2 linked regions of the Oreochromis niloticus genome follow. The protein of the gene in region 1 interacts with the protein of each later gene in a pairwise test. Links are inferred from orthologs where the notes say so. Each region holds a gene or a part of one and is shown in the gene's direction. Other genes may lie near its edges.

Evidence for each region. The genes of interacting proteins can lie anywhere in the genome.
Region 2: the proteins of zdhhc17 (region 1) and spry2 interact in binary tests that used the Homo sapiens proteins (3 or more experiments, as listed by UniProt). The link is inferred for Oreochromis niloticus from reciprocal best matches to the Homo sapiens genes ZDHHC17 and SPRY2.

What each region holds. Positions count from the first base shown.
Region 1 is NC_031981.2:35,671,018-35,678,179, forward strand, and holds the start of zdhhc17 (palmitoyltransferase ZDHHC17), read left to right. Parts: upstream 1-4,088; 5' UTR 4,089-4,105; coding exon 4,106-4,168; intron 4,169-7,162. UniProt on the Homo sapiens protein: Palmitoyltransferase that catalyzes the addition of palmitate onto various protein substrates and is involved in a variety of cellular processes.
Region 2 is NC_031986.2:7,826,113-7,833,361, reverse strand, and holds the start of spry2 (protein sprouty homolog 2), read left to right. Parts: upstream 1-4,234; 5' UTR 4,235-4,707; intron 4,708-5,717; exon of another isoform or gene 5,718-5,865; intron 5,866-5,902; exon of another isoform or gene 5,903-6,175; intron 6,176-6,284; 5' UTR 6,285-6,379; intron 6,380-7,249.

The sequences.
Region 1 (7,162 bases):
CTTGGATTGCACACCTCAATAAACGTTTGCCATGGAAAGTGTGGGATTGCCCTTCTTTACATGCACACTGGCACAGGACGGAAATATGGAAATATTGCAAATATAAATTTATGAGTGCCAGATGCCAAGTCTGGTCCCAAGATTTAGTTCCCAACATAACTTCACACTTCTCACTGCATATTTTGAGTAGCAAGAAAAATAAGACTACAAAGTCTTTAAATGTGGAATTAGCTTGCAGCTATTAAAAATAAATACTCAAAAGGAGTATGACAGAGAAAACACTTTGTTAAATCGCAGGTGGACAACATGACATGGTAATATCAGATATCAGACACCACGCCAGGACCCACCGGATGTACTGCTTGTCTGACACAGTTAGCAAGAGCTGCTGCTGCCCTATGATTCTCCTGTTTCAGCGCTTGTCTCCTGTCAAGTGAAAGTGGAAATAGAGCTGCAGACATCCAACACAGGCAGCGAGATATGACTGAAAGGCAGCATGGGTGGGGTGGAGTGGGGTGGGGGTTAGAAAAGCAACAACATTATCAGCACTAGACCCGCTGAAGTGGCAAAGCCTGGTGTGGTTTATAATCCACAGCTTCTCCCATACATCACCCGGATACAGCGGGCTGCAGGAAATCCAAATTTAGCCTGCCTCATCACTCAGCGCGTTGCCCTGGGGTGCATTCGCGTTGAATTAACTAGCACCAACAGGCTAAATGTGGAGTTTGACTTGGGACAGATGCCGGGGTCACAAGTACAGAGCATGAAGATGCGGGAGCTGCTACGGTCCTTACCTCTAATCCTGATTTATTACACAATAATACGCACTACCCGTCTGCAGTCACGGCTGTCACTCAGCCTCACACACAATTAGCCATTAGGCTAGCCGCCTGTAATCAACAGCAGGCGGTAGGGTTAGCTTTCATTTCGGTGTTTTTCTTTGCTTGTTTGAGCTTACCTTTGCTCCACCGGAGATCTCCTGTTGTGCTGTGCCACGAAAGGAAAAAGCTGCCTGTAAATATTTAAAAGCAGTCCACCGGGGCGTGTGTCGGTCTGCTAACAGTTAGCTTTAGATGTGTTAATGTTTACGGGTGGTACTCGTCTTTGGGCAGCGTCAACGAGTGATGACTCGCGGTTTCCTCAGCCCGCCGGCTTCACGTAGGTCCAGTTTTAATGTCTGAAATGTTAAAAATCAACTTTGAAAATGATAATACGCTTTCTAATATTTATTTACCAGCATTCCTCGGTCTATTTGTTAGCCACCAGCGTGCCTGCACGATTCTATCAGGACTGTTTTTGTGGCAAATGAAGTAACGTAACCGGAAAATGCACGACTTCCGGACGCGGAATTCAAACTAAAGGGTATTAAAAAAACATTTAAGACGTCCGCGTTGTGTATTTATGTATTATGTATTTCAGTCAAAATTATCCAAATAAGACAGTTTTGGGTGTCCTGTCTGTTTGATTTAATTCATGAAAACTAAATTGCATTACAATTTACAAACATCTGTTTAAAAATACATACTTCAGTGTGCGCTTTGTTTCAATTTTTTAATTTTCACATCAATAAAAGTTTATGTCTTGTCTTTATCGTATTTGTCCTGTTTTTCTTTCTAAAGCGCCCTCTAGACTACGTCCTATAATGTTTTATATGTGAATAAAATGGAATCATCTTTTTATAAAATAGTAATAGTTTATTTTATCAAGAGCTGGTCATTTTACAGTTGCCCTGAGTCTCTTTGGGACTTTATTTTGAAGAGCCAACAGCTAATATCCCGTGTACGGGTTGTTACTGGATAACTTGACCCGTCAGCTCGAAATTTCCCTCCTGCTCGGGTAACGTCTGATTTTCCCTTGCAAACGTGTCAAACGTGTAATCGCTTTGGTGCACTTTCAAACAGCTGACAGTTACACGTGCATCTGGTAACACTACTTATTGGAATTCGTATATATAACCCGTCAGGTTTTTCTTATATAGTAATGCTTTTTTTGCTGAGATTAAATTTGCTAAGGAGACGTGTACATGAATTAATTGTGATCGATTACATCACTTTACCTCTGCCGGGTTTTCGTGAGTCACAACTACCATGAGCACCCCTGTCTGTTTTTGGTCGATCTTATTTTTAATGTAGCTGATCATTTTTCTGCCTCCAGTAATAACTACAATGATTACTGCAGCTGCTGAAATTGAGGAACTGCAAGTATCCATGCCTGGGTGTGCGGTGACATCTAGTGGTGGTTGGAGTTTTGGGTTCGGTAAAGATGCACATGATGTGACAACATCTACAGGGGTAAAGCGGTATAACGGTAGTGTCATCGATGGTTTCACATAAAAATTCAACCATCAGTCAGTTCTGTCATCATGGATTTTTCCCCTAAACCAAATAGTACTGGACCATTTACAACCCGGAAAAACTGTAGTTTTATCTCGATTTATTAGGAATCATGTATTCCTAATAAATCAACTTTTGCTGCCATGATACCAGGTCTCTCTCGGAAATTAGATTTTTAATCTCAGTGACATTTTTACTAGGTTAAGTAAAGGATTAATTAAAAAATTAAATTAATAAATAACTGTCTCTCTCTCTTTATACTACTGTTATGTTATAAAAATGCTGAAAACTACAATGCTCATGAGATACTGTAAGTATACCAGCTGGGTGGATATACATACTTAACTCATACGGTTGCTCAGATTTTAGATCTGATTCAAAACTAATAAGATGTTACATTTTTGGTAATATTGTAATGGCAAAAACCAAACTACTCAAACTGCAAATCAAGTAAGGGGAACTAGAAAGAGTTTTCTATTTAATTAGCTGAGTCTGCAAAATCAGATATTGAAGGAAAACCCCAAGGAGTTCCTTGTATTTGAACTCACCTTTCAGGAGGATGGCTTATTTACACCAGTGTCTCATTACAGATGCCAAAAATAAAGACTGTATATCCTAAAACCTGTTTTCAAATTTGAAAAGATCACTTTCACTTCAATATACACTGCTCAAAAAAATGAAAGTAACACTTTGAAAACACATCAGAGCACTGGGCGCCAGCGTTGGACTGCCAGTATTCTATAGCAAACATCAGTCTGACTGCCTGGTGAGCATGCAGCCCACTAAAGGTCACTGGGCCTCAGGCCACCCTCATGAAGTCTGTTTCTGATGGTTTGTTCAGAGACATTCACACCAGTGACTTGCTGGAGGTCATTTTGTAGAGGTCACTCTGGGAGTGCTCATCATGTTCCTCCATGCACTGTTCCACTGCTGATCAAAAGGAAGAGCAGCCAGATGTACTGTACAATATAAAGCACCTTGAAACGACTGTTGTTGTGATTTGGCGCTATATAAATAAAACTGAATTGAATTGAAATTGAATAGATGTCCCACATGCTAAGGAAACGTCTCCGTCATTTGCAAGCATTACAGCAACCTGGGGATCAAAAACACCTATGCCAGGTGAATGGTACAGTTGAAAACAGTTAACAGTAAGTTCAAATGTTACTGTTATGTAAAAAGAAACCACATAAAAGTAAAAAGACTGCAGTGTCAACACTGTTTAACATCCTTTTCCCCCCTGATGGGTCACCAGGCCAGTACATTAGACATTTTACTGGCTGTTTGTATACTTTTAGTGGCCCACAAACAATCCAATTTAATAAATTTTTATCCTGCTATACAAATATATATATTACATTGTAAATCTATCTCAGAAAAAATAGTAACTAAAACATTAAAATAAATGTGGCAGGGTCAGTAACGTGCTACTCTGCTGCAGGTACTGCTGCTGGTTTTTCCAGCAACCCTGAAAAAGATGAGAGGATGGATGGATGAAAAACAAACCATCATCTTTAGTATATTATACTTCCTACCCCCAGAACGGGGTACTAACACACAAAAAAAACCCGAATAATTTTATAGGAAACATAATAAATCATAGTAAATATATTTTTGCTATACAACTGTAGACATCGTTTCTATTATGTGCTGTGACCTGTACATCACCAATGTTTCTGACAGACCCTCTCTTCTCTTCCTCCTCCTCCTCGACCGTTCCCCCCTGCACTGCCTCCTGTTTCCCACAATGCTCAGCGAGCATCACCACCAAGATGGCCGACGCTATGGAGGAATATGAGAAAGAAGCTGGCTGCGTCCCTATTCTCCATCCTGAGGTATGGTCACTTGGGTTCACGCCTTCGGACGAACACATGAAAGCAAAGTAAAGGCGTCACCTCGCTCTGCGTGCCGGTGGCTTTGTGTTTTCCCCTTTCTTTCTTTTTTTGGAAAACCCGATGCCCCCTGCAAAACCACCGGTGGGGGGGTGGCAGCCAGCTAACGATGCTAAAGGTGCTAGCGCTAGCCCCCCTCTCACTGCTGTATAGCCTTTTAACGCTGGGCAGATGTTCGTGTCATTGGTAACATTAAGCCAGGTTGTGTTTTCCCTGGAAGTGACCTACAGCGAGTAAACAAGCCTGTAGTCCCCGTTTAAGTTCACGTGGGAAGAAGGTTAATCTTGTACGACGTTAGCTTTGTAGCTAAACTGACAGGAATCACGCTAGCTGCTGTGATGTATATGTAGTATAGGTGGGTATGAAGCTATTGTGTACTGTCGGTCGTTATAATAATAATGATAATAATAATAATAATAATAATGATAATAAAGTGCTAACAGCTAAAAATGGAGATTTAAAAACTGCACTCTGTGCATACAACCAGTTAGCTAACACAGCAGTAACAGTTGTCAGTAATGGTGTTTGTGTTTGTGTAGGAGCGGACCACCCGGGTCACAGTGCTTTCTGTCACCTAATATCATTAGACATGGTACGTTATTACTAGGCTGGTTATAACTCCCTATAATACTGTAAATACTGTACATAAGTACAGATGTGAGGTCTTCCAGTGTTTCCTTTCTATTGATATTCCACAACAATTCAGAGGGAAATGGCACGTTTCACTTCACTACATTTATCTGACAGCTTTTCTAATGGACGAGTTTTCTTTACACAAAACATATGAAGACTTTGGTGTTGTTTTGTTAACTAGAGATGTCCTGATATGTGAGGCAAACATTGGTGTTGTCCTATCGGTCAGTGTTTATCAGCTGTGTCACATAAGTTGTGCATTGATTAGTTATTAGGAACTATTGTATCCAGAGCCAAAACAATTATTTGACTAGTCAAACAGCTGGTTCCAAACATTTGCTGGTTCCAGCTGTCATGTTCAAAAGTTGTAGTTGAATGTCAGTTTTTGAACTGAACAGTCAGCTAATGCAAAAAGCAATTAAAAACACCCTTAAAATTAATAAAAAAGATATATAGTCTGCATTGAGTAATTGTATGTTTTTTGTAAACTGTTTTTTGGTTTATGCTTACATTTACAAGCACAGAACTATTAAATTTGTCCTTTTACTTAAAGAATCTGAATACTTTATCCGCTTCTGTATTTTTGTAATATATTAAGATAAACTAATTATATTTTTAGTTAATAGTAGAGGTTAATTTGTGACATATTTGTCCGAAAATAACTGAAGAAGTATTAAAGTGTTAACTAATTAGCTAGCCTGAATGCAACATATTTGTAGAAAGTTTGTCCATTTACCTAGATCTGTTAGTTGCAAACCTATTCAAGGCCAAGGTGACCAGCTTTACCATTATTTAGCATTGCTGTAGAAAGTCACATTTAAGAAGTGCTATATAACAATTTAAAATTTCATACCTCAGGGTAGTGGTATATTTTGTTAGGTTAGCTATTGAACACGGCCTGTTATCAGTTGCCATCTGTGCTTGGCAGGTAATCTAATCATCAGGGAGAGTTTTGTTTGAATGTAATGCAGTCTGGTAATGCTTCAGTGACGGATGGCTTGCTTTTCACTCTCAACAGTTCAGGCTAGTTTACCCTCAACCATGCTCAGTAACTGTTAAAGCTGGCGGTGAAAAGAATTCATATCTTAAATGTCTCCAAGATGCTGGCAGGATGAGTTGATGTACTTGGGCTGGTGATCCAAATAGTAAAATTCAAGCTCTGAATTTACGAATCTTCTTCACATATTGGGCCAGTAAGAACTCAAATAGTAATACTGCATGAACAGGCAAGTTGCCACTTTTGAATGGTTTTGCATGAAGGAAGTCTGTGTTCTTTTGTCTTTTGACTGATCCTAGGTTCTTTACAATATTAAAGAAACTATTTTGCCGTACACCCAGCAGTGAAATATAATACCACTTTAAGTAGTAAGAGCAGGAATGATGGCAGACTTGCAGTTTAATAAAACCATGTGGTTAATAAACTGCTTTTGGAGCTTGAAGAGTTCAACAATGGTCTGGTTCATCTTTATCATTGGAACTACATCCAAAATACTCCCAAACAGGGGCAGAGACAGTTTTCTGGTTTACTAGTCCCATCACATTGTCCCCAGTAACTGTGGTTTCTCAGCTGTGCTGCCTGTTTCAATAGTAGAGATTGACCTACAAGGGCCCTATCATACAGTGGTATGCAAAAGTTTGGACACCCCTGATAATTTCCATGGTTTTTCTGCATAAATCATTGGTTGTTTGGATCAGCAATTTCAGTTAAATATATCATATAGCAGACAAACACAATGATATTTGAGAAGTGAAATGAAGTTTATAGGATTTACAGAAAGTGTGCAATAGTTACTTAAACAAAATTAGGCAGGTGCATAAATTTGGGCACCTTTGTCGTTTTATTGATTTGAATGCCTTTAGCACTAATTATTGGAACACAAAATTTGTTTGGTAAACTCATTGACCCTTGACCTACATACACAGGTGAATCCAATCATGATAAAGGGTATTTAAGGTGACCAATTGCAAGTTTTTCTCCTCTTTGCAATCTTCTCTGAAGAGTGGCAACGTGGGAGCCTCAAAACAACTCTCAAATGACCTGAAAACAAAGATTGTTCAACATCATGGTTTAGAGGAAGGATACAAAAAGCTACCTCAGAGATTTCAGCTGTCATTTTCCACTGTGAGGAACATAGTGAGGAAATGGAAGACCACAGGCACAGTTCTAGTTAAGGTCTGAAGTGGCAGGCCAAGAAAAATCTTGGATAAGCAGAGGTGATGGATGGTGAGAACAGTCATAGTCAACCCACAGACCAGCTCCAAAGACCTACAACATCATCTTGCTGCAGATGGTGTCACTGTGCA
Region 2 (7,249 bases), on another chromosome or scaffold:
CTAAGGCAAAGGTCAGACTTCTAACTTTAAAACTGCCTTTTCGTTCCACAACTGAATGCTTTTAATTCAACAAGCCCAGCAAATCTTCAGACTTTTCAAGGAGAGTTGTAGGTCTATTACAGTTTCCATGATTAGACTAACATCTTCATGTGGCCTATAGTCCCAAATAAAGGCAGGAGATAGGCCATAACGGATGGAAGATGGTAACTTTGCTCTTAATTAAGACTGTGTATTATGTGCGTTACCCATTCATTAAATAATTTAGCTCATATTGAAAACAAAACAATAAACAAAAGATGGCAGAAATTGTGCTTTTGTTTTTTGGAGTAGTTTTGGTATGCATTTCCTGACCTTGAAATCTGTAGTTCTCAATGCAGGTTTGGCCAAAACTTGAATAGCTTAACCTCTTAACTTCCACCAGATCACCAGCAACACAACTCAAGAAACAGACAAGAAACAAAGTCACTGACATCTATCAGTCAGGAAAGAGTTACAAAGACATTTCTAAGGCTTTGCTACTCCAACAAACCATGTTGAGAGCCGTTATCCACAAGTGGATCAAACTTGAAACAATGGTAAACCTTCACAGAAGTGGCCAGCCTATCAAATAAATCCCAAGAGTGCATCAACAACTCAACCAAGACATCACAAAAGAACCTAGAACAACATGTAACAAACTGCAGGCCTCACTTGGCTCAGTTGAGGTCAGTGTTCATGACTCAACAATAAGAAAGAGACTGGGCAAAAACAGCCTCTATAGGAAAGTTCAAAGGCGAAAACCACTCTTGATCGAAACGAAACAAAAGTGATTTTAGGGAAAAAAATCTGTTGACTGTTGCTCTCCATTGCTTCCATCAGAGTATGAATGTGTGTGAATGTTAGACAGAACGTACTTAGAAAAGCATAGAAAAAAATGCTTGTGTGAATGGGTGACATGAGCTAAAGAAATGGGCGAATGAGGTACGTTTTATAAAGTGCTTTGAGTGCTCAGGTAGAGCAGAAAAGCTTTATGAAAGAACCAGTGCATTTACCATTTACCAGTTATCAAAAATGCTTAATTGCAGTTCTTGCTGTCAAGGGTGGCAAAACCAGTTTCACAGTTTCACATAGGGCCACGCAGGTTGGCAGAGACTTTTCCCCATCATTTGAAAACGGCATTTTTATATTTACTCAGGTTAACTTTGTCCAATATTAAAAGTTGTTTGATGAGGTGAAACATTTAAAGGTGAGAAATATGTAAAAGAAAAAAAAAAAGAAAGAAAGAAAGAAAAAAAAAGAAATCAAAGATGAGCAAATACTTTTTCAGGCCATTATACAGACAAACTAAGTGCTGTTGAGCTTTAGGAAGAACTGCATGGGAGCATGTTTGCGTAGGTTGATAACCCTTCTCCGTAAGCAAATGCCTACCAAAACTGACACAACTGCACAACTCATAATAACAATCTGCCACAAACATCAAGAATTAGCTGAGTAGACTGTTTCAAAGGCCACTATGACCTAACAAACACACTTTCGGCCGTAACACAAGAATTCACACACTAATTACAACAAAATAATGATGAAATTAATAATAATAACAATAATAATCACACAATTCTCTAATAGGATTAGGTTATAGTCAAAAGGACAAAAATCAAGTCTGACCAGACATAGTGGAAAAAACAGATCTGGTTGTTTCAGAGCTTAACAGAGCTTAAAATGTGATGTTTGATAGTTAAAAAACAACAACAGAATGTGTCTAAATTATCAAATGTAAGCAAAGTAAAGTGCTTATTACCAAAAAGGGGGACATTACATATGTAGCACCTAAATAAACAGAATTATTTTGCAAGTCTTTGATTGTGCCTTGGCTCATTCTGTGTGTGCTGCTGGAAACATGTAACATGTTATCAAGAACAACAAAGCTTTAAGGGTAAATGAAGAGCAGCCAGGGAGGAACAAAGGAAGACAAATTGTAGAAAGAAAGTGGGAAGTCTTGAGAGCCTGCTGACCCTGATCCAAGTTAATTTGCCAAGTCATACACTGAGCTGATTAAAGTGACCTCTCTCAGCAGTGTGCTTCTCACAACTTCATAATTATTCTGTCTGAAATTGATCAGACACTCTATTACTAAATTAGAGGAAAACGGGGGAATGGAGATGTCCAAGTCCATTGTTTTCACTGAATCTCTTCTGCTTGAGTTCAGGCTCACTGAACACAAGCTAATTGCTCTTTTTATTATTTTGCAGGGACACAAGGCGGGTAACAGCCTGTCCGGGCCTTTTTGTAAGATGATATAAGTGTATGACTCAACTACTAAATAAAACCCATTCAGTCTTTCATCCTTGAATCTAAATCCAGACTCACTGATCTGCATCCCATTTTCATCTTTATGCCATTCTGCTTTTCTTTATTGGTGCCCATGTGTTTATCATAGTCATGGAAAGGAATGTGACTGATTTTGAAGCTAGTTTAAATCTATTATTATATTAGAAAATCCACATGCTATTGATTGTAGCCTGTAGTATATGGAGATGGCCACACAGTGGCGCCACTTCATAATTATTCACAACAGCTCTGGGGTAACTACAGTATTGACTTGCTAATTAGTTGTATCAATTCTCATTGATTGCTTTTGGATTTAAATCCATAGCAGCCTGGTAGTAGAGCTTAAAAAGGTGTGAAATAAGAAAAGTATCCTGAGGTGTTCAGTAAGATTAACTCAGTGCCCTGTATGTCAAAGGAAAGTCAATATGAGTATGTGAAACTACTCCATCTGGCACTGCATCTCACAGTTTGTCTTCAGCTTACCTTGATTTTAGAGGGAGACAGTAGTTTTCCATTAAGGACTTGGGAGTGTGAAAAAGGGGAAAAGAAGTGATGTTGTGTTTCAAAGTAAAATTACAAAAGCATCCCTGTCAATTACTAGCAAGCACTTTGATAAATAAAGCCACACCATCCTTTATAAACAGTCACAATTTGCAGGCTGTATAACAGTTTTGCATCTAACCGTAGTTGTTAGCTTTTTACAGTGGAATTAAAGAGTACACAGTCTCCCTGAGAAAGGAAGTGGAATTGAAGTGAACTTGTGCTGTACTTGAGTAAATGTACTCTATATATTATATGTTTTTATTGTTATATTATAGTCAAATTTTGAAAATGTAATCATGTATAAAAAGAATTTAGCTGTTACATAAACACTGAGAAGTAGCACAAAAAAGACAGCAGTATAAAAAGGCTACCTCAGCAGGAAGGGTAGGGGGGGGAAATCGATACAGCATAGTATCATGATATTTTACATGGCAATGTTGTACAGGAACACCAAATATCAAGATTTTCTAAAATAAAATCTAAATATTGTGGGAATACTACACACAAGAGAGGTCATTTTTGCACACCGCCACCCTGAGACCATGTCAGTGAAGCAGACTTACATTTAACTGCCTCAACTGAAAAACCGTCGAACACTGGACACACTTAGCTCGACAACCCAAGCTCCTAACCCTGAGCAAGTTAACGGCTCAATCACACGAGTAAAAGCAGGGCGGCAAGATGCTTACAACTACAAACTCTGTCTTATTGCAACATTTACAGCAGGTTTTAGTGTTGGTATGCTTGACAATCTCATTTTCAAGCAAAAATAATAACTGAAGAGGGATAACTTTATCTTATTGGACAAAATCAATACTGACAAATTTTAACTCTGAGGCCATAATTTGCACTTGAAAAAGGGTGATAAATCCTAATATAGGTTAATTCAATATTCAGCAACATAATGTTACACAAATGTACAAAACCACTACCTAGCAGTTATACTGTACTTCACAAGATGTGCTCAATTACCCACCTTCTCTCATAATGTAATGTAACCGTTACATTTTTTCACTTTCACAAAGTACACAAACTGCATTAAGTAGAAAATACTAATACTGTGCTGCCCATGTACCCTGTAAAGTTAGCTAAAAACGAATCAAATGTACCGACATTTTGTTTATTTGCAACCTATAAACCCCCTCACATGGTAAGCATATGACACATTATTTTCAGGGGACTGCTCTGTAACGTGCTTCTTTTATTTAAAAAATAATAATAAAAAAAATGTGTCAGCTGTAAGAAACTGAAGACTTTACGGGCCCAAGCACACATATTTCCAAAGAGGTTGATCGGCTTGATCAGACTCGGTGTGAATGGCTACTTTCTGGCATTCAATGGCTGAGCACCGGATGCGATATATCCGCTGTCACAACAAGCGCTCTGTCCCCCCCCCTTTCAGGTTGACGCCACATACAGCGCAAATCCCGACCTCTCCGGAAAGAGAGAGAGAAAAAAAAAATCACACTCACACGCGAGAAAAAAAAAAGTACTTGCAAGACGTTCTGAGCGTCGCGGATAAAACACACGGAGTGAAAACTACCTGTAAATGTGAGGTTTGTCGCCTGCTTCTCTTCTCTAGTTCTCGTCTTCTTCTTCTTTCCCTTTTTAAGTTTGCTAATAAACTTTATCGTGCGGCGGCTGTTTGAAGTTTTCGCGTGCTTTAACGCCTCGTGCTGTTGCGCAAAAACATGGGATTTACATCTTAGCGCCGCTTCTCCCGAAGGAGCGCTCCGGCTGGAAGCTTTCTCAATGGATTTTACCGACGGTTTTCCCGACTGAAGTGTTGCCGCAGGGAATACTCGCCCCCTCAACTTGGATTTGTTTCACCTAAACGGGGGTCTCGTCGCGAGCACGGTAAGTGTGACCTGTGTAGTTCTTATCCTTTTTTCTCTTTTTTAACAGTACGCATGCTCTTTGTTGAAGCTGTGGACTAACAAACTTTGTTCCCCCTCACACTTTTCTTAGCAGTGTTTTTGTCTCTCCCGTCCTTTAGGTTGCACTTGGGTCATACGTGCACTGTTATGGTTTTAACATAGCTGCTGGCTTAGTTTTGAGCTCATTATCTTAGTCATCCTCCCCCTCTTAAGTTTATAAGGTCCCTTTTTCCCTTTTAACTTCTAAAATTAGCCACCGCCTTCGCTCTGACTAATGACTCATTTAGCTTAATTGTTCACCTGACCGCTGGTGTCTGGTTATTAGGAAGTAGCAGTGTCCAAGTTGGCACGTGTTTGCTCATACGTGCACTCACACAGCCTGCACTGTTTCCGTCCGCTGCTGCGAGCTGTCCGCTTAGCGTTTCTTTCTTTTAAACGTGTTTTCCGTGCCGCACGCTTGCATGTTTGCATTATAAATCTCATGCACACAGTGGAAACGCGCTTATCGGTTGCGTATCAGAACCCGCGCGAGTCATCGGGCTTTCTGGTTTTACTCAGCATTCAATTTTTTTTTTTATTTTTGGCTGATGCTCTGTTTAGGTTTAGGAAGCTCGATCCTGTCACAGAGCTCCAGCTTCTCTCCCACTGTCACAGACTCCTGTGTGGAGGCGTCTGTTTTAACCAGGCTTATAAAACCAAAAGAACCCAAGAAGTTCCCAAAGATGTCCCACCACACACAAACCCTCTGAGTGCACTCCCACTTAATATGGCCTCTTTCTTTGCTCCAAACTTCTTCTTCTTCAAATCTTGTCACTCATCATCTTTTCAGCTGTCTAACAATGTAAAAATGTGCTCGAATGGGGAAGTTTGCTGCAGGCCATTTGCCACTTGCCACAGGAACAAACAAAAGCCGTTCCTGTATTGTAACTGAAAGGAGGGGTGGCCTTGGTCCCTCCACCTCTTGAAAAAGATTGCATTTAAAAGGTAATTAGCACGAGCACAAGAATCAAGACCTTTTTTTTTTTCGTTTGTTTTCACCACCCTCTCACTTTAGTGTGAGGCGGTGGTGAAAATGAGCCAGTGTACAGAGCACTTTTGTTAATACTCACACTCAAAGGGAAACTATGGCTGATCTGGGGTGAGTATCCAGTAGCTGGGAAGTCGGAACTCTTGTATCGTTTTGCTTCATTTTAAACTCTTATTAGACACTTGGGGCTCTTTACTTTGTTTTTGTTTTTTCCTTTTTTGGTTTAACAGAAATGAAGTTGGTTCCTTCTCCTCTTATATGCGCTTCAACTCCTCGTTTCAGTTATCAGTTTGACCCACATCAGTCTTCAGTGTTTAAAAAAGAAATGAACTTTGATCATCAGCGTATGCAACCTCTAACGATGGAAATGTTGACCCTGTGAGAGACGGGCGTAGAAAAAGTGAAACATGGCATTTGACACGTAATTTACCTTTGACGTTTTTGCTGTGTCAGACAATATTCTGACTGTTGGCTGATCGTGTTGGTTATTGGAAGGTTAAAAAAGTGAAACCTATCTTACTTTTCCTCAGCCAGTGGCGATGTCTTCTAACATCTTCTGATAGAACGACTATTTCAGATCTGACAGTTGACAACCAAGCAACCGATTGGCTTTTCTGAGTATAAGGTAAACAACCGTCATAGCATTAATTGATGTATTGATGCTGCTATAATCTGGTTATTTTAACATTTTGCTTTCTAAAATAAAGGTTAAAGGTAGAAATTGCACATCGCCATGCCCCGAAGCTCAATCTGACAGATTAGTGATGCACTTATAATAGGCCTAATTTTATCAGCCTTTTGACTGACATAAGCGACAAAGCTGCTGTGATGAAAGATAGCCTGAAATTTTTCTTCATGTTCATCAGAAGAGGAGGGGGGGAATGTATGTTTTTAATATAAATATATTTTTTAAGATCACGATTTACCTGGAACAGTCGGTTCGTTACTAATCATAAAGCTTATATCTGAATAAGGTTCCAAACCAGATTAGGGGTGTCACAAAAGCAGTGTATTAATGATAACCGAGATATTATAAAATGTACAATTTTATAATCTCATCAATAATTGTGTAATTTTCTAAACGAGTGTTTAATTTTCTTGCCGCCTGCATTCATACATTGAGTTTAACGAAGTTAACAAAGCTGTAGTTGAATTTGTCTGCAAGCTTTATTGTTTTTATTGTTTTGGGGGGGGTGTTAAACAGATACCTCAATATAGTGAATTTTCCCCATGCATATAGTACGCAAACTAAAATGGCCAACCAAAAGAGTCATAATTTGAGAAACTGAAGTTTCAGCCATTTTAAGCCTTGTTACACGCCAGATCGATGACAGGAAGCATGAGCGCTGCAGCAAGGGTCTGTGGTAGGACTTGTACCAGGGGCAGGATTCTTCATGTTCAGCAGCATGACCTCACAGCATCAATTCATTACCAGCATTGCATAGCTGGTATTAATTTCACCTCGTGTGTCTCAGTCCCCATTGGAGTCTGGGCG